Linked DNA regions of Danio rerio. The protein of the gene in region 1 interacts with the protein of each later gene in a pairwise test. Links are inferred from orthologs where the notes say so. Each region holds a gene or a part of one and is shown in the gene's direction. Other genes may lie near its edges.

Region 1 (4,263 bases):
TAACTGGAGCTTATTCAATAACCCAGTCAACTGCATGCTTTTGTTATTTGCCTTCTCCAAAGCAATTTCACAGACAGCTACTAAATACTTCACAGCTAAAGAGTATCATCAGATGTGATGTTGTTTATCAGGCTTGTGTAGACCGGCGTATAAAGAATTGCTGGCATTACGGTGTGAAATATTTCACCCAATTGCAATGGAAAAGAGTTTGAACTGTTTACGTTTTCTTGTTTCAGATTTTTTCCAATGGTCCTTCAATGTCCCCAGAGACTCCTCAGGACATGCACAAAACCTTTATTAATGAGATGAGGCAGCCAATGCTCCGGCAGGGCTACATCCCCATCCCTGTCTGTCATGAAAACCCTGAACCCAGGCTGCAGCAGTATCCTAGTTTCTCCTACATTCATCCAGCGGTGCAGCAGAATCTGAGAACAGATGGACGTACACCTTCCCCAACGCCAGCAGCACACTGTCGGCCTAGATCTCCAGTGCAGACCCCATCAGAAGCATGTTCGTCTTGCTCACCTACTTCACACGGGCCTGAGGTAAGATCATGAGAAAGCAATCTATAGAAGTGGCAGTCTCTGTCTTGGGTTTATTGGGAAAGGTTTGCATTAAGAGGATAGTTCACTGTAAAATTGGTTGTTAATTTACTTGCCCTTGGGTCATCGAATATGTCGCTGAGATTTTCTTTAGTAGGATTTTAAAGAAAATATTTAGCTAAAACAGCAAAAAAAGGATATCGAGGCAAAACAAAACAGATATCTCCTGTTGATATATTGAGGTTTCGTGAAACGTGAAACAAAACTTCAATCAGTGCAGGAAACTAAATATTATTTACTATTACATTTATGGCACAGCCTAAAGAAAACTTTTAATTTATCTCAGAGTTAAGTCAGAATAAATGAATAGCTAATTTTTTACTTTTATGAAAATTTCTTCATTTGTAAAATCTTCCTGATGCCCTGACTTTTCATTTAAAAAAATGGTGTTTAATAGGGTGTTGAAAAATTACATCTGATGAAAATTGTATATAAGCATTTCATTGCTGAGTCTCTGTTTACTATTTAGCTTATTCATTCATTCATTCATTTTCCTTCGGTTTAGTCCCTTTATTTATCAGGGGTCACCACAGCGGAATGATCCGCCAACTGACTCAACATATTTTTTACGCAGAGGATACTCTTCCAGCAACAACCCAGTACTGAAGATCACCCATACATTCTCGCATTCACACATACCTGTACACTATGGCCAATTTAGTTTATTCAATTCACATATACCGCACGTCTTTGGACTGTGGGGCAAACCAGAGGACCCGGAGGACATCCAGACAAACATGGGGAGAATATATATATATCTAGAATATATATACAACAGTTCTGTCTGGTTCCCGGATCTGATTGGCTGATAGCAGTGCAATATTCTGCAATCGTACAGCCTCCTCACCCTTATGTATTACTCCACCCACACAGAGTGACAGTAGATCAATAAACTCACTACAGTTTGACAAATATTGCTGCTGTTGGACAACATAATGTACTTTTGAGGCTTTTTAGGCAGAATGTAGTTGTTTAGATTACAACTATGCAGTTTATTTATAAGAATAAACCCTATTTTAAATATTTATAAGATACCACGCCATCCACCAGATGGCGACAGAGACTGCATAATAAGCTTTTAGAGGAGAAAAATTACAGCTGATCAAATCATTATAAAACTGTTAAGTGACATTCTAAGGCCCAATCCCAATTCTATTTTGTACCCCTATCCCTTCCCCATGCCCCTTAAAACTGAGTGTAAAGTTGAAGGGCTGAAAAATTTACTCCTAAGAAATGGGACACCACTACAGCACCTGCACACGTCATGATATGCCATCGCGAGCTCTTACTTCATAGGAGATCGTCGATCGTGACTGCTGTAGTTATTCCAGTTGTGTTATTTTTTGTAGACCTCCTTACTTCCGGGTGCAGCTATGTTACCGTTTTAGCTGGTGTATTTTGGAAAATTTTCTTACCCCTTGGTTTCGAGTGTAGTCCGGAAAAATCTCAGTTCGAAGGGCTGTCTAACCCTTCCCCTTAGCCCTACGCCTTTAAGCTAAAGAGAATTGGGACACCCCTACCCCTTCACGGGAACTCGTCAAACGAAGGGTAGGGGTAAGGGGAAGGGCTAATGGGGTAGAATTGGGATTGGAAGTCGATCGCTCTCTTTTGTATGTTGTAGTGCTGTATTTATACCATAGTAATTGTAGTGTGTTGAGAGTGAGAAGGGACTCACATATTAGGAATGTATTTTGTGTTGGCCACTCTTTGTATAACCCTGGGCTATCTGTTTGTTTCTAATGAGTCTCCTGTTTTTACTACTGTAGACTAGTACAGTAAACAGAAACAAAAAAGAAATACCCGCATGTCTTAAACGTTTTTCTTTATCACAAACACAACAGTAATCTGGTAGTGTTTGTGCTGGGTTGGCTTTTTTGGGGATAATTATTGTGTTATTTACTTAGTGTTATATACTGATTAAAACAGAGAAATACAAGGAAATCTGTAGACTGATGGCATTTCATGCTGTTCAGCCTTAGAAAAATTTAAATGTGAGCAAAATCACCTGTTTTGTCATCACTTTAGATATTACACTAGAGAATCATTTAAATACAAGCTCTAAAATGACATGTGAATGAGCAAGGGTTTCTGCTTTTCTGACATCAGCTGCAGATGTGAATGAATGGCGGAAGAAAGTAGTTCCTCACACAAAAGAGCCTGCGGCCTTGTGCCAATGCACACCTCCCACCAGTGCTACTCGTGTTTTTATATAATCATAAACTGCAAAAACAATACAAGAACATTACAATATTAATTTTAAATAAATATTTTCTATTTTAATATATCTTAAAATGCAATTATTATTCCTGTGAAGGCAAAGCTGGATTTTCAACAGCTGTAGAAATTTGTAGTAAATTTATATGTTGTAAAAACTTTCTAATGTTTGTTTGTGACATTTATATAAATACAAGTGTTGTTAAGGTAAATTTTGACCAATTTAATGCAGACCCAAACTCTGTTTTTATTTACCAAAGGGATATCAACCACAAGGGACCCACCAACAAATCAGTGGCCTTCACCAGCAGCCCAGATCCAGCAATACAGGTCTCCGGGCAGGATACATCCCCATTCCGGTGATCCATGAGGGTGCCGGGGGGGTCTTGCCATCCCAGCTTAGCCAAAGTTCTCATCCCACTCGAGAAAAAATCTACCGTGAACAAGTGCCCATTCAGATTCAACAGAACCGTGCTGCCAGTCCCATCCAAGTCCCCTTAAGAGCCCAGTCGCCAGTCATGGCTCAGATCATGGGAGAGAGGCCTCAGGTATGTGTGTTATTTATCAAGAGGATATTTTACTGAAAGATGAAAAAAAAAAAACATAATCTAAAGAAAAGTGTAGCCATTGACATTGATAGAAGGAAAATTTTCATTTTAATGGCTACAGGTTTCTTCAAAATATCTCCTTTTGTGTTCAACAACAGAAAAAACCTTAAGCATGTTTGAACTAATGGAGGATGCATAAATAATGACATAATTTTCATTTTTGAATGAATTTTCTGTTCAAAAGTGCACTTAGCAATTTTTGAGAAATGCTTATGACACCAGTGTCTGACCGATACCCAAAACACACTTGCAGCCAATCTTCAGTAAGGGGTTTGTCTAGTAACACTAGTGGAGAATTCAAAAAGGGCATGCCATGACAATTTGTAACCTTTTGATTTAGTGGCTAATTTGTATGAATTTGTATGATCTCATTTGTTAGATTTATTATGGTTTGCTCATCCCCCAATGACGGTTGGGTTTAAGGGTGGGGTTGGATGCTATGCCTTCTTTTTAAAATCTTACGTTTACGTTTGACTGAACTCGTACAAATTTGTGCGAATTAGCCACTAAACTGACAAATAGTAAAATAGTTACATTTCCTTTTTTGATCAGGCTGGTTTGTTTTGGCGTATTATTTTTCAACATAGGCTCATTCTGAAAATGTAGCCCTATGTACGTTTCTGGAGATCGCGAATTATGTAGCCAGAGCTATATATGGCTGCATTTTATCTTTAAAACAAACGCTACTGACTACCTCCAAGTGGACAGCTTTCATGCTGTTGCTAGTTTGTCCGGTTAGCTCACCATGTACGCCAGCAGACTTGAGACGAAAAGAGGAGTTGACCACGATGAAAATAAACATGTAAACAATATGGTAAGAATGTGTAAAAAGTATGGTA
Region 2 (5,042 bases), on another chromosome or scaffold:
AAGCATGGTGATTTGCGTATACATTCTGGATATAAGCTAATGCAAAAATGTTTAAAGTTTTTTTTTTTTTTTATTTATATATGTTGCACACATATTAACATACAATGTAAACAATCGTTCAGTACACCAAATTAGCTTTGCAGGGATATCAAACATAAACTATCTATAATCTTGTTTCAGTTGTGGTAAAGTTAAACATTGCATGCAGAAGTATTAATACTTGGGCAAAAGACTTGTCGCAAAACACATGATTACACATAAAGAGAGAATAAAGGTTTACATAAAAAGCATCAGTCTTAAGGGTAGGAGAGGTTGATGTTGTATCATCTGTGGAATAAAGCAAAATAATTATGTGTCTAATCGGGCACATTTGTTTAACTTTGTAAAACCCTTGATCTTCTGTTTTCATACATGATTTTTATGATAATAATAATAATAAAATTATTTATAATAATAATAAAATTATATTTAGTTTGGTTAGAGAAATGACACTACAGTAAAATAAAATGAATGTTTAGCATCACAAATGACCAGCAAGATAGACACACACATTTTTGGTTGTAAGAAATTAGAAGACTAATGCTATAGGGTTAAATGTTTGCATGCGACATGCGTCACTATCTCTCACTGTTATATGGTTTCTTTCTGTCTTTCAGTAATGAGTTGTGAAGCAGCCACACAGACAGAATTAGGCCCTAGTCCAGCTCCTGCCCCAGGTTCACTGACTGGAACAGAGAACGGGTCTGTCACACTACGACAGGGCTGTGGTAAACGAAAGCCTCGCCCCAACTCTTTGGTGGACTACCAGAGCTACAGAGACACGAAACTGCTGGTGGCTCGTTTTCTAGAGCAGTCGTCCTGCAGCCTGACACCAGAGGTGCAGGAGCTCGTCAACAGCATTAAAACTGTCCTGCGCTCAGATGAGGAACACATGGAGGAGGCCGTTCGATGTGCCAGCTTCATTGACCAGGTAAGACATTCACTGAAAATCTGTGTTTGAATCCAGCTCGCTACAGTTTAACACTGTAAACACTAATATCTGAAAGTATAGTCAAAAAAATTATTTGGAAATAGATGTTCATTGAGCCTACTTTTTTCTTGCCATTGCAAATAGATATGTGCACGTCTGGAAGTGTTGTCTTTGTTTTTCTATTTATTTTTTATTTAGCAGTAAGCAAATAAAATGAATATTGATCTGTTCAAAATGTAGTAGTAGATTCTTGATTTCTTCTGCATTTAAAGTTTTTGTTGTGACTTTAAAGCGTTTTCTTCTTCTTCTTTTTCTTCTTAGTAGTGATATATATATATATATATATATATATATATATATATATATATATATATATATATATATATATATATATATATATATATATATATATATATATATATATATATATATATATATATATATATAGTGCATCCGGCGCTTCACTTTTTCCAAATTCTTTTGGTACAGCCTTATTGCAAAATGGATTCAATTATTTCCTCAAAATTTAACACACAATCACCCATAATGTGATTTTATTTTAATTGTTGCAAATGTATATATATATATATATATATATATATATATATATATATATATTTAAAAAAACAAATATCGCATGTACAAAAGTATTCACAGCCTTTACCGTCGAGCTCTAAATTGAGCTCAGGTACATTCTGTTTCCAGTAATCATTCTTGAGATTTTTCAGCATTGGACATTTAAAAAAGGCATACACCTGTCTATATAAGGTCCCAGGGTATACAGTGCATGTCAAAGCACAAACCAAGCATGAAGACAAAGGAATTGTCTGCTTGGGAAGGTTACAGAATTTTTTTTGCATCTCTAAAAGTTCCAATGAGCACAGTGGCTTCCATCATCTGTAAGTTGAAGATGTTTGGAACCAACAGGACACTTCCTAGAGCTGGCAGGTCATCTAAGCTGAGTGATTACGGAATAAGGCCTGACTGTGCGCTTACACCGAAGACGTGAGAGCCTCAAAGGTGTACACCTCTAATGTCCGTACAAAGAATAATGGCTTTACATCGTCGCTTCCCATCCAACCTGATAGAGCTTAAGAGGTACTGCGAAAAGGAATGGGCCAAAATTCCCAAAGACAGGTGTGCCAAGCTTGTAGCATCATATTCAAAAAAACTTGAGGTTGTAATTGCTACCAAAGGTGCATAAACAAATTATTGAGCAAAGGCTGTGAATACTTATGTACATGTGATTTTTCTACTTATTTAACTATGTTAATTAGGTTAACTAGACAGGTTAGGGTAATAAGGCAAGTTATTGTATAATGATGGTTTGTTCTGTTGATTGTCGAGAAAAAAATTTGCTTAAAGGGGCTAATAATTTTGACCTTAAAATGTTTTTTAAAAAATTAAAAACTGCTGTTATTCTGGCAAAAATGAAACAAATAAGACTTTCTTTAGAAGACTAAAAGAAAAAATATATATTATCAGACTTACTGTGAAAATTTCACTGATCTGTTAAACATCATTTGGGAAATATTTTAAAAATCAAAAAATCAAAGGGGGGCTCATAATTCTGAATTTATATATATATATATAAGGGCAACGCAGTGGCACAGTGGGTAGCATGTTCACCTCACAGCAAGAAGATCGCTGGGTCGATCCTCGGCTCAGTTGACGTTTCTTTGTGGAGTTTGCATGTTCTCCCTGCGTTCGCGTAGGTTTCCTCTCGGTGCTCCGGTTTCCCCCACAGTCCAAAGACATGCAGTACAGGCTAAATTGTCTGTAGTGTATGTGTGGATATTTTACATGTATGTGTGGATTCCGCTCTGCCGACCCCAGATTAATAGAGGGACTAAGCCGACAAGAAAATGAATGTATATATATATATATATATATATATATATATATATATATATATATATATATATATATATATATATATATATATATATATATACATATACATACAGTATTTGTTTATTTTAATTATTTTATTACAATCCACATTTCAGTTTTAATTCACATTCTTTTTCACTGAGGATTTAGTTTTTTACTTTTTTTACTTCGCTTAAAGATTCTGTCCATCCATGCCAGTGTTTGTACACCATTTAGACACCTTGATGACAAAACATTCTCAAAACATCAACATGTGTCAAGTTGTTTACAAGATTACCAAGAGCCATGGCTGCAAAATGTTTTGCCTTATAGCTTAGTAGCTTTAATGCTCATTTAAGCATTTTTGGGTAAATATTTGTCATCATATTTATACATGACATGTGCATTGAATCATGCACCATGACATGATTTTGACATCAGTTTGATTGGTATTTAAACCAGTTCTTTGACATCCATTTTGATGTCAATTTGATGTATTTTTAACACCAATTGCCCAAAGGGCTGTGCTTGGACTGTGATGTCTGTCACTTGCAGTTATGTTTAAAGGTATGTTGTCAGGGAAATTAGGTAGAAAGGTAGGAAGGTAGATCTCTAGGAACAGGGTTCCTGATTTACATACTTATAATGTTTTGTAGGGTAGACAGTATTCTGCTTTTTATTTCCACTAATGTCCTGTACTCTCCTGAATTTCTGCAGGCCATTACTGTTTCAGAGGTGTCATCGGCTCAGTCCTCTCTACGCAGGCAGACAAAGATGGAGCACTCCTCCAAGACACTGCCACTGCGCAAACGTCCCGGCATCCTTCACCTGCGCAGCTGTGGGGACCTCAGTTCCTTTACATGGGTGCAGACTAGCACGCGTTTGCGGACTCACTCCAGGATGGCTTCTCGGGCAGGATCCCGCCTGGAGCAGGAGCGACCACACAGCCTTATAGGAGTCTTCAGAGAAACTGTCCTCTAACAGACTGCATATGAGTGCAAACTGAGGCGTTAGACTGTAAAAAGTAGCTAATACTAACACATGACAGATGCCAAGCCAAGAGTTTAGTTTTCACTTTGTTTTTAAAAGGGCTTTTTAAAATTTTGCTGTTTCAATTCCAGTTGTTGGGAATTGCTAATGATTTTTTTAAATTATATGTTATGCACTATAAACTAATAAAACACTGGAATAATAAAAAAACAAACAACATAAATTATGTTTATGAATTTCATGTTAAATTTCATGATTTAATTTTAAACAATTAGATTTAATTGACCAAAAATACAACATTAATAATAATTATGTTTAAAATATATATTCAAATCCATATATTTTTGTTTGTTTATTGAATATGTGATATTATTTTTTGTTGAGTAATAAACTTATTGTGAGGTAGATGGAGGAAGAATCTGAAGCATTATATTTGACCAATCTGAGGACTATAAATATTTCTCCCAGTATGTCCCTCAGAAATATATCATGCATAATTACTAAAATTGAGGCAAGTGTATCTGCACTGTATTATTATTATTAATATTAAAATTATTATTTTTCCTAAATGACATTTTAATGTTTGATTATAGTTTTTACACAAAACTATATATAGATAATACTCTGTATATAATATACACTACATAGTCAAAAGTTTATATTTTTTAAGCCTTCATCAAGATGCTATTTTAATTAAATTGTTATACTTATTTATTAAATATTTATTTATTACTTATTGAATGTATTTTCAAATGAAATCATTAGTCCCGTCATTATTGCTTTATTTCTATTACCATTAATAATACTATATAATAATAATATAATTATAATAGAGTTATTTTTTGAAGGATCATGCGACTCTGAAGACTGAAGTAATGAAGCGGAAAATTCATCATTAAAATCACTGGAACAAATTCATCATACATTCATTCATTTTCTCTTCGGCTAAGTTCCTTTATTAATCCGGGGTCGCCACAGCAGAATGAAACGCCAACTTATCCAGCACATATTTCACGCAGCGGATGTCCTTCCAGATGCAACCTATCTCTGGGAAACAACCATTCACTCTTATACACTACGGTCAATTTAGCCTACCCAATTCACCTGTACTGCATGTCTTTAGACTGTGGGGGAACCCAGAGTACCCGGAAGAAACCCACGCGAACGCAGGAAGAACATGCAAACTCCACACAGAAATGCCAACTGACCC
Region 3 (4,877 bases), on another chromosome or scaffold:
CTCTGGAATAGCTAATCAGAGGATATCGTAGGTCAGAATACACTAAATATCGCACAAAACACTGGAAACTTAAATATGTTTATTAATAAATCAGATTAATTAAACTAGCTCAAATAAATACATTCATGTGATTCACTAAAGCATGTATTACACAAACTAACGTTAACATACCAAAAAGGTTACCCTCCTGTTGGTGAATGTATAATTTGCACCTTGGGCACAACCCAGTACTGGAAAACACCCATACACTCTATCATTCACACACACATTCATACACAGGGCCAATTTAGTTTATTTAATTCACCTATAGCACATGTCTTTGGACTGTGGGAGAAACCGGAGCACCTAGAGGAAACCAACTTGCGGAGAACATGCAAACTCTATGCAACAGCACTAACCACTAAGCCACCATGCCACCTTAAATTAATGTACTTTAGTTTAATTTTTGGGAAACGTTTTTAAATGACAAAAATGTAATTTATATTGAGTGCTTGTGCTTGATTTGAAGAAAACCATTAATTTTATAATGCCTATCATTTTATTTCACTTTGAAAAGTAATTGCTTCACTGTTGTTTTTTCCTCCATCTTACACACAATGGGGTATATGCACACAAACTTTTAATTTCAGTCAGTCAGCCCCATTGCTTCCGGTTAATTGTCATCCCAAACTAAATTGCAGCGTTTAAGATCTGATTTCTTTAAATAACAGCAATCTTCACTGCCTGGCTGAGATGCGATATATAGTGGGTATCAGACCTAGCATAAAAACACTGCATTAATTTATAGACTATTTTTCCACACCATGTCATTAAAATATGGAAATTAATTTTTCCTCAGTATTTTTTTTAAAGTTTTTGCGCTTACTCGCTGCTAATGACGGCGCCTGCATTTAAACGGTTTTTATGCTTTACCAACCAAATATTTAACTGAATGTATTGTAATTATATTACAACATCGATGCTGTAAAAGAAACCTTATGAAATTAAAGCTTTTATAAAGCTTTCGCTAGAAGTTTATCATTGGCTAAAAAAAACTAGCTGTGCATATAGCTTATTGATAAATTTAAAAGTTTGTATGTTAACAGCACACATTTCAGCGTATGTTATTACTTATCTAAAAGAAACTTCTTTCATCATCAAATCTAAAAGTATACTGAGGTAACTTAGCTCACCCAAAATTTATTTTTAATACATTCTTATAAAGTCTATCCACTTGTGTGCCATTTTAAGTCTTATTTGTTTTTAACCATTAATTAAAAACTTTAATTTGTACTTTTTTACCTCACTTTTTTACTTTGTTAGTACACTGTAAAAAATTCCACACAATTTGTTCATTGTCTCAACAAATTTAATTGGTTTAAACATAAAACAATTAAGTTGCCCCCACAAATCACAAGAATTGTGTTGCTTCAGCTTGAACAAGCAGTTTGTGTATTTCTACTTCCACTTAAGTATGGTAGGTCATTTGAGTACTTTATACAGCTCGTGATAATATTAACTTGCATATTTAATTAATTGTTACTTATGTGATAAAAACCATGCGGTAGCCTACTGTTTGTTTCGTCGCCACAGATCTGTCCATTAGACAGTCTGACTGGGTCCTGGCTTAGCACAGCTGTGGCTCCATTTTATGACCTTTAACAACATAAAAGACATATTAAGTAACTTCCGAACAAAAACAGACAAAGGACGTAGTAAATCATAATTTGACATCCACAAAATCGGCAATGTTCATCTTCCTCTCCTGTGGGCGGCAGCACTGCGATGACAAGACGATGTTGAGGTGATTTCAGCAAAAAGAACTGCTTCCGTCTGTACACACGCCGGGGTTCATCATGGCGGCGGGACCGATTTCAGAACGAAATCAAGGTATATTTGATAAATTTAACTTTTTAGTGAAATTGTTATGTAGTGTTCGGGGTAAGTGATGGATTGCAGCATTATTGAACACCTTAAGTTCTTCCTATGTTCTATGATACAGTCAAATCGCTCATTTTCATTCATTCAAACATGTTGGCTTAACAAATAAAAACAAAGAAACGTTTGAGTTTTGGTTTTAATGAAGTGTAACAAAACAATCATGCATATTTCAATATGCTTATTATTATCGGAATTAATAAATTGTATATAAATAATGCATCTAACGTTAAATAAAATACTATGTTTGTGTTCAGTGTTGTCATTTATATTGATCATCTTTTATCTGCAGATGCCACTGTATATGTGGGTGGTCTCGATGAGAAGGTCTCTGAGCCTCTTTTGTGGGAGCTTTTCCTTCAAGCTGGTCCTGTTGTAAACACACACATGCCCAAAGACAGAGTAACAGGACAACACCAGGGTGAGTTACCACGTCTTTAAATCCATTGGGGTAAAGTTGCTTTTATACTCCCTCATTCGGTCTTTCCTCTTAATATAATTTAGCAAAAGTATTCTTTGCAAATTATAAGAAGGAAAATGACATTAGCAGTCAAAGACTATCAAAGTTCAATATTGTTCACAGACAATGAAATAGTTGCATTATATTTTAGACCATATATTCAAAGTAGCGTGGTAAACAATACAGGAACTGTGTTCCTAACAAGTTTGCATAATACCAGCCAGTGGCTGCTAAATATCTAGTTTTGCTCAATCTTACGTTTGTTTGTGTTGTTGACATTGTTGAACAAAACCCCAGTTATAAGTACTGATTTTGTTTTTATTTGTACTTTTTATTATTTATTGTATAATTTTTTTTTACCCAAATCTTGTGTTTGTTTGTTACAACTGCAATTCTGCACACTTACTTTTGCATTCATAGGCTGCAGACTTGGAAGTCCACAAAAACTGATTGAGGTATAATTGGTTTTATATTTGCACATTCTGACTTTCTCCTTAACTATATAATTTCAGAAAAATATTATATTTAAATTCTAAACAGTGAAACCATATTAGCAGCCGATGACTACAACACTGTTCACAGACAATTAAATAGTGTAATGTTGTTTGTAGTGTAATACTTGCATGCAAATTTAGACTGAATATTGAAAGTAGTGTGGTAAACTATATAGTAACCGTTAAAATGAATAAATTTGCGAATGTAAAACCTTCTTTACCTCAATCAAAAACTGCCTGTGTGTTATCAAATCTATCCTACAGAGAATTGATATTGATTTTTATCTTATTATATTTCACAACAAGGGACGGTGTACATTAAATTTAACTTATTTTTTGTTTTTAAGACTGTAAAGCACTTTGAGCAGCCTTCTGATTGTAAAAATGTGCTATATAAATAATTTGATTGATTGATTGATAAATCAACATTGCCTAATATTGTAAATGTAGTCAAATTAGTACTCAATACTCAAATCATATTTGAGTAATTCTTATGTATTGTATTAAGAAATTAAAGTGTATTTTAACATTGAATGCATGTCAGGGTTCAACGGCAAGGATTTTGTCTACTGGGCCGATCGGGCCAGTGGTTGAGATTTTCACTGCCCCCACCAAAAACAACAAAAAGTTAATAGTTATGTCTTAGCCACATATTTTAAATAATAATAGAATTTAAACATTTCAAAAATGGTAATAAATGTATAATGAGCAAAATTCAAGATTTTATGCCAACGAAAGAGCAGTATGGAAAAAAAAGCTGGTATTTTATTGCAACTCTAAATTATTTTTATAAAAATGGCTTGCCAAACTGACAACCTTTTTTTTTTCTCTCTCCAGTTTCTTAATTTTGTACACATGTATTGTCTGCTTCCAATACTTTAGAAACAGACATTTTCTTTTAGCCTCATCGTTTGATGTTGCTGCCATTTTGCCATGTTTTCGATGTACTTGTTGTGACCAGGTTACGAAAAAAATAACGTGCGATAGGGGCCAGTAACAATCCTGTCTACTGTCCCGAGCGCCTTTCAAGCTGGCCCCGGGCCACCGGGCAGTCCTTATTGTTGAGCCCTGCATGTAAAACAAAATTAGGAACTTTTAACAACCTAATAGGATCACTTCAAAAACTGGTATCGCTCTCTCTTCTTCAGGTTATGGCTTTGTGGAGTTTCTCAGCGAAGAAGATGCGGACTACGCCATAAAAATAATGAATATGATCAAACTTTACGGCAAGCCCATACGAGTCAACAAAGCTTCAGCGCACAACAAGAACCTCGACGTTGGTGCCAACATCTTCATTGGCAACTTGGACCCTGAGATCGACGAGAAATTACTTTATGACACATTCAGCGCTTTCGGTGTGATCCTTCAGACCCCCAAGATCATGCGAGACCCCGATACGGGCAACTCGAAGGGTTACGCCTTCATCAACTTTGCCAGTTTTGATGCGTCAGATGCGGCTATCGAGGCTATGAATGGCCAGTATCTGTGTAATCGGCCCATCACTGTTTCATACGCGTTTAAGAAAGACTCAAAGGGTGAAAGACATGGGTCAGCAGCCGAGCGTCTCCTTGCCGCACAGAATCCACTGTCCCAGGCCGATCGCCCACATCAGCTTTTCGCAGATGCTCCACCTCCTCCAAGCATGCCCACGCCTGTCATGACTGCCCTCGGAGCAGCCATGCCTATTCCAGGTTAGAGATGAGAAACATCTTAATGACATGTTGCAAATGTTTTTCACATTTCCAGGTTCAAAGTCGTCAGAGTTGGATAAATTTAGAGTGAAGTGAATGGGAGAGTACAACAAATATTTTTTATTCACAATCCTGTTTGCTGAAATAGTAAAAGAAAAACTTCACTATGGTGTTATCAAGACTTTCAAGAAAGAAAAGAAAATAATGTGAGACTGATAACGACAGACAGAAAATAGAACAACATCAAATTTACTGTCCTGCCCTATAGACGCTGCATTTCAAATGCCACACATAGGTGGTAATTTAATGCAAAGA
Region 4 (4,263 bases), on another chromosome or scaffold:
GCTGGACAGAATCTACTGTAAGTCAACTTCAGAATTTGTTGCAATATTAATTTTCTCTGCTTGCTTGGTATCCATGCAGGTTCATATCCACAACAAGCTGTTTACCCTCAGCAGAGCACAGCACCCGTTTACCCGCCTGCTATGCAAGTCCCTGCTCAGGTGTCTCAGTATCCAGATGCCCCTCCTCCATACTCCGAGGTTACCACTACTAACTCTCTCTCTCTCTTTGCTTATGTAAATGAGTTGCAGTAGGAAAGGCTTCACAGAACAATGTCTCGTTATAATCAAGTGTTATATTAGAAGCATTTTTTTAGGATTCAGTGTCTTCTTTTAATGAAGTGTCCTGGATTTTATATGAATATACTTTTTTTTTATATTGGATTTGATGAATCATTTTCTGTGATGCAAGAGCTGCCATTTAGAAGGACAAGGGCAGATTTAGCAAAGAATTAGTCAATGCCAAATTCCCATTGGTAAGAGATATTCTAGACAGTTATAACAGATAAAAAGGGGCAAGTCAATACAGCGATTTTATTATGAGTTGTTTCTAAAACCTTAATTTAAAACTGCAGTGATAAAATAACATTTAATTGTAAATTTAAAAATAAATAGTAATGAATACCAATGATTGATGAATACATTGTACTAATCATAAATTTAGACTTTATACAACTGCAGAATTGAATTTCTGTTTATCAGTTCAGTAGCATGTCACAGCATCATCTCATTTGTTAACTAATTACATTTAGGCATTTGGCAGATGCCTTTGTCTAAAGCAACTTACAATTTACTTAATATTTACAGGTGTGTGCAGAATAATTATTTAAAAAATCTTTTTTATGCTATTTTTTAATGTAAAATTGTTTGTGTTCACAGTAAAGTGTGGGATGCATAAACAAATCAATTGTATAAAATACAACCTGAAACCTCAAACAGAGTTTTAAGACTAGATTTGGTGATTTTTCCCAGATGTCGTATTGGACATACAGTTGAAGTCAGAATTATTAGCTCTTTTAATTTTTAATCTTTTCAAAAAATATTTTCTAAATGATGTTTGACGGAGCAAGGCAATTTTTACAGCATGTCTCAATATTTTTTTCCTCTGAAAAAAGTCTTAATTGTTTTATTTCGGCTAGAATCAAAGCAGTTTTTAATTTGTTAAAATCCATTTTCGATATTATTAGCCCCTATAAGCCATTTATTTATTTTTGTGTTGATAGTTACAGAATAAACCATAGTTTTACAATAACTTGCCTAATTAACCTAACCTGCCTAGTTAACCCAATTAACCTAGTTAAGCCTTTAAATGTCACTTTAAGCTGTGTAGAAGTGTCTTGAAAAATATCTAGTCAAATATTGTTAACTGTCATCATGGCAAAGATAAAATAAATCAGTTATTAGAAATGAGATATTAAAACTATTATGTTTAGAAATGTGTTAAAAAAGAATCTTCTCTTCGTTAAACAGAAATTGGGGAAAGAAATAAACAGGGGGGCTAATAATCCAGGGGGGCTAATAATTCTGACTTTAACTGTACAAGAATAACCCATGCTTTTTTGCTTAAAGGTGAAGACCCTACTCAATGTTTGTACCGCAGTATATTATACTGCAATTCCTCTCACATTCAAATACATTTTTCCTCTTGATTCCCGAAGACTTTTTTATGTATTTAAATCTCTAAAGGACGTTTTTAGCAAAGTGACACCAGGAAAAATGTTACATTTTTATCAAGTAAAAATGTATTTAATGTATATATTCATTTGTTTGTTGATTTTTAATTGTAAATTTATTATTGAAATGTTCTTGCCATGAAAATAGACTTGGCTGCTAACATGGCGTTAAATAAAAAACACATTACATTACAGTTCTCAGTACATGAGTGATGCATAATATCAAGAGGTATGAATTTACTTTTAAATGTAAATGAGTAAATATGGGTATATTTTGAGGGATTGGGACATCTTATTTAGGCATTTTTGTTTTTCAGGTGATTTTTAATCAAGTGACGCCTAGGCATGGGCCGGTATAAGATTCTGGCGGTTTGATAACCTTGGATAAAAATATCACGGTTTTACTGTAATACGGTATTGACATTACTGCTTTAAAATATATTCTTTTAAATGTTTGGGTTCCCCTTTGAACACAATATATGGTATTTTGAGAAACACTTAATATTTTGGAGCAGTAAACATGTCAGACTGAATAGTTTAAATGAATCCTTGACCTCTGCTGTCTTCAATTGTTTCAAAACACTGATTTTTTTAACCATTTAAAATAGCAACGTTGGACATCTTTTCTGCTGGAGATATGGTTGTTCTAAAAAAAATATATATATATATATTTATATATATATAAATAAAAAAATCATACAAATACCTTAGGAACGGTATAGCAAAAAATTGACGGTGTCTACCAAACTGCGGTAAACGTTGAAAACGGTTAATGTCCCATGCCTAGTGACACCAGATCTTTATTTGTTTGTTTTATTTATTTATTTAATTTAGATATTTCTAAAAATTAATAGTCATGGCAGGCACTAAACTCTTAACCAGAGGTGCTTAAACACACTTTTCTTATAAAAGGCCCAAAACCTTGACTGATGCCCCATTCACACAGGGCTTCAGCGTCAACGCTTGACAGAGGGTGTGTCTGAAGTTGGGGCTGATGCGATCATCATAGCAGCGTCAGCCAATGAAATTAGTCAGCAATAGGCCACTGTCTAAACTGGTGTATTTGCATACAGCGATCTGATTGGCTAAGGCTTCCGTCGGCACTTGAAATGTTGAGCGAAGAGTCCACAATGCAGTTCGGCAACACCTGATGTTACTTAATTCAAAGTGAATGGGAAGCGTTGCAGCTGACGCCCCGTGTAAATGGGGTGTGAGGGCTGTGGGTCGAAGTTAAAAATACCAAACTGTATTACATTACATTTGCCATGGAAAACTTCCTAATTGATTTGCTAATATTTAAAAATAAAAATAAAACATTGCTTTTAAACATTTTTAAACATGCAGTATCAGATTTAACATGTTATAATAAACTTATTACAGTTAAAACAAACAATCCCAGTTATTAGACAATGGTGTTCAATGCTGAATACACTAGTGGAGCTACTTCGGCCTTTGTCTTGATTTGCTTGCCGATGTCTTGTGCATTGTCTTTTATCTGTCAAGTGGCAGTAAAAGTCTGATTCATTTACAACATTTATATGAAACATTTCATTTTAGTTGGCTTTTTTTTTGGTAGCTACTCAATTAAACAAAGAAACTAAGGCATTCACCCCAACCAACTCACCGTCATTACTGTTCAGATGGGATGATGGGGCTAAACCAAAGGTTACCATTGGCCAACTTTGGCCCTACTTTAGGCACCTCTGCTCTAAACAATCAAAACTAAGATTTAAAATGCCATTGTCTTTCATTAGTCTAATTAACTTCAATTAAAACAATTGAAGTCTTGATATTAAGTGTGAATTATACACTTTTTGTTATCACCTACACAAATGTTTGAAATAGTTTTCTCTCCTACCTGCAGGTTTATCAGCCCAGATATATGGCTCCCCCTCCAGCCCCTGGACAAATGCCCCAGATGACCTCTGCTTACCCTGGTACTCAGATGTACATGCCCATGCATGCCCAGACTGTGCCAATGGGGGCCATGGCTTCTAGTGTCCCGATGGCGTATTATCCGATGGGGCCCGTGTACCCTCCTGGCTCCACTGTCATGGTGGATGGTGGATTTGATGCTGGAGCTCGCTTCGGGCCTGGCACTGGTAGTTCCATTCCGGTGAGTATATGTCCCCTAAACATGATGTGTTTTATCAGCCAAATGAGATTTCCATTATATTAGTCAAGCTCAGTTTATGCTTGAGGGTCACAATGATGAAAACTTTTAGAAATCTGAAGAAATCTGAATGACATGAAAAGACATGATGAGGTTGTTTACACAAGATGCCATATCAGACGCTCAGGACTCACTCATAGACATTTACTCAAAGGATAATTTAAAACATACTATGGAAATGCTTTATTTTTAATTTTATCAGTCAATGATTTTTATCCTTATTTTTATCTCCACCAACATGTAATTACTGTCAAGCTGCTCTCACCATAAAACACATCATATTAGATTGTGAATGTTTAAGGACAAGATTTTATAAAGAAAACACTTTGAAAGATGTTCAATAAAAAGTTTCATCATGATGAAGTTATTTATAAAATCATATTTAACTTTTAATAAACAGTTATTGTGAATTGTATTTAT

The links.
Region 2: the proteins of bag3 (region 1) and fam189a2 interact in a two-hybrid assay, tested with the Homo sapiens proteins (2 studies listed by BioGRID and IntAct). The link is inferred for Danio rerio from reciprocal best matches to the Homo sapiens genes BAG3 and ENTREP1.
Region 3: the proteins of bag3 (region 1) and sf3b4 interact in binary tests that used the Homo sapiens proteins (3 or more experiments, as listed by UniProt). The two-hybrid records come from large-scale screens. The link is inferred for Danio rerio from reciprocal best matches to the Homo sapiens genes BAG3 and SF3B4.
Region 4: the proteins of bag3 (region 1) and dazap2 interact in binary tests that used the Homo sapiens proteins (3 or more experiments, as listed by UniProt). The two-hybrid records come from large-scale screens. The link is inferred for Danio rerio from reciprocal best matches to the Homo sapiens genes BAG3 and DAZAP2.

Annotation. Positions count from the first base shown.
Region 1 is NC_133188.1:28,710,386-28,714,648, forward strand, and holds part of bag3 (BAG family molecular chaperone regulator 3), read left to right. Parts: intron 1-236; coding exon 237-545; intron 546-3,076; coding exon 3,077-3,364; intron 3,365-4,263. UniProt on the Homo sapiens protein: Co-chaperone and adapter protein that connects different classes of molecular chaperones including heat shock proteins 70 (HSP70s), e.g. HSPA1A/HSP70 or HSPA8/HSC70, and small heat shock proteins (sHSPs), e.g. HSPB8.
Region 2 is NC_133180.1:56,862,657-56,867,698, reverse strand, and holds the end of fam189a2 (endosomal transmembrane epsin interactor 1), read left to right. Parts: intron 1-656; coding exon 657-970; intron 971-3,559; coding exon 3,560-3,823; 3' UTR 3,824-4,055; downstream 4,056-5,042. UniProt on the Homo sapiens protein: Functions as an activator of the E3 ubiquitin protein ligase ITCH in the ubiquitination of the CXCL12-activated CXCR4 receptor. Thereby, triggers CXCR4 endocytosis and desensitization, negatively regulating the CXCL12/CXCR4 signaling pathway.
Region 3 is NC_133194.1:8,478,373-8,483,249, forward strand, and holds the start of sf3b4 (splicing factor 3B subunit 4), read left to right. Parts: upstream 1-1,807; 5' UTR 1,808-1,835; coding exon 1,836-1,869; intron 1,870-2,209; coding exon 2,210-2,338; intron 2,339-4,019; coding exon 4,020-4,562; intron 4,563-4,877. UniProt on the Homo sapiens protein: Component of the 17S U2 SnRNP complex of the spliceosome, a large ribonucleoprotein complex that removes introns from transcribed pre-mRNAs.
Region 4 is NC_133198.1:36,679,835-36,684,097, forward strand, and holds part of dazap2 (DAZ-associated protein 2), read left to right. Parts: intron 1-79; coding exon 80-198; intron 199-3,534; coding exon 3,535-3,786; intron 3,787-4,263. UniProt on the Homo sapiens protein: In unstressed cells, promotes SIAH1-mediated polyubiquitination and degradation of the serine/threonine-protein kinase HIPK2, probably by acting as a loading factor that potentiates complex formation between HIPK2 and ubiquitin ligase SIAH1.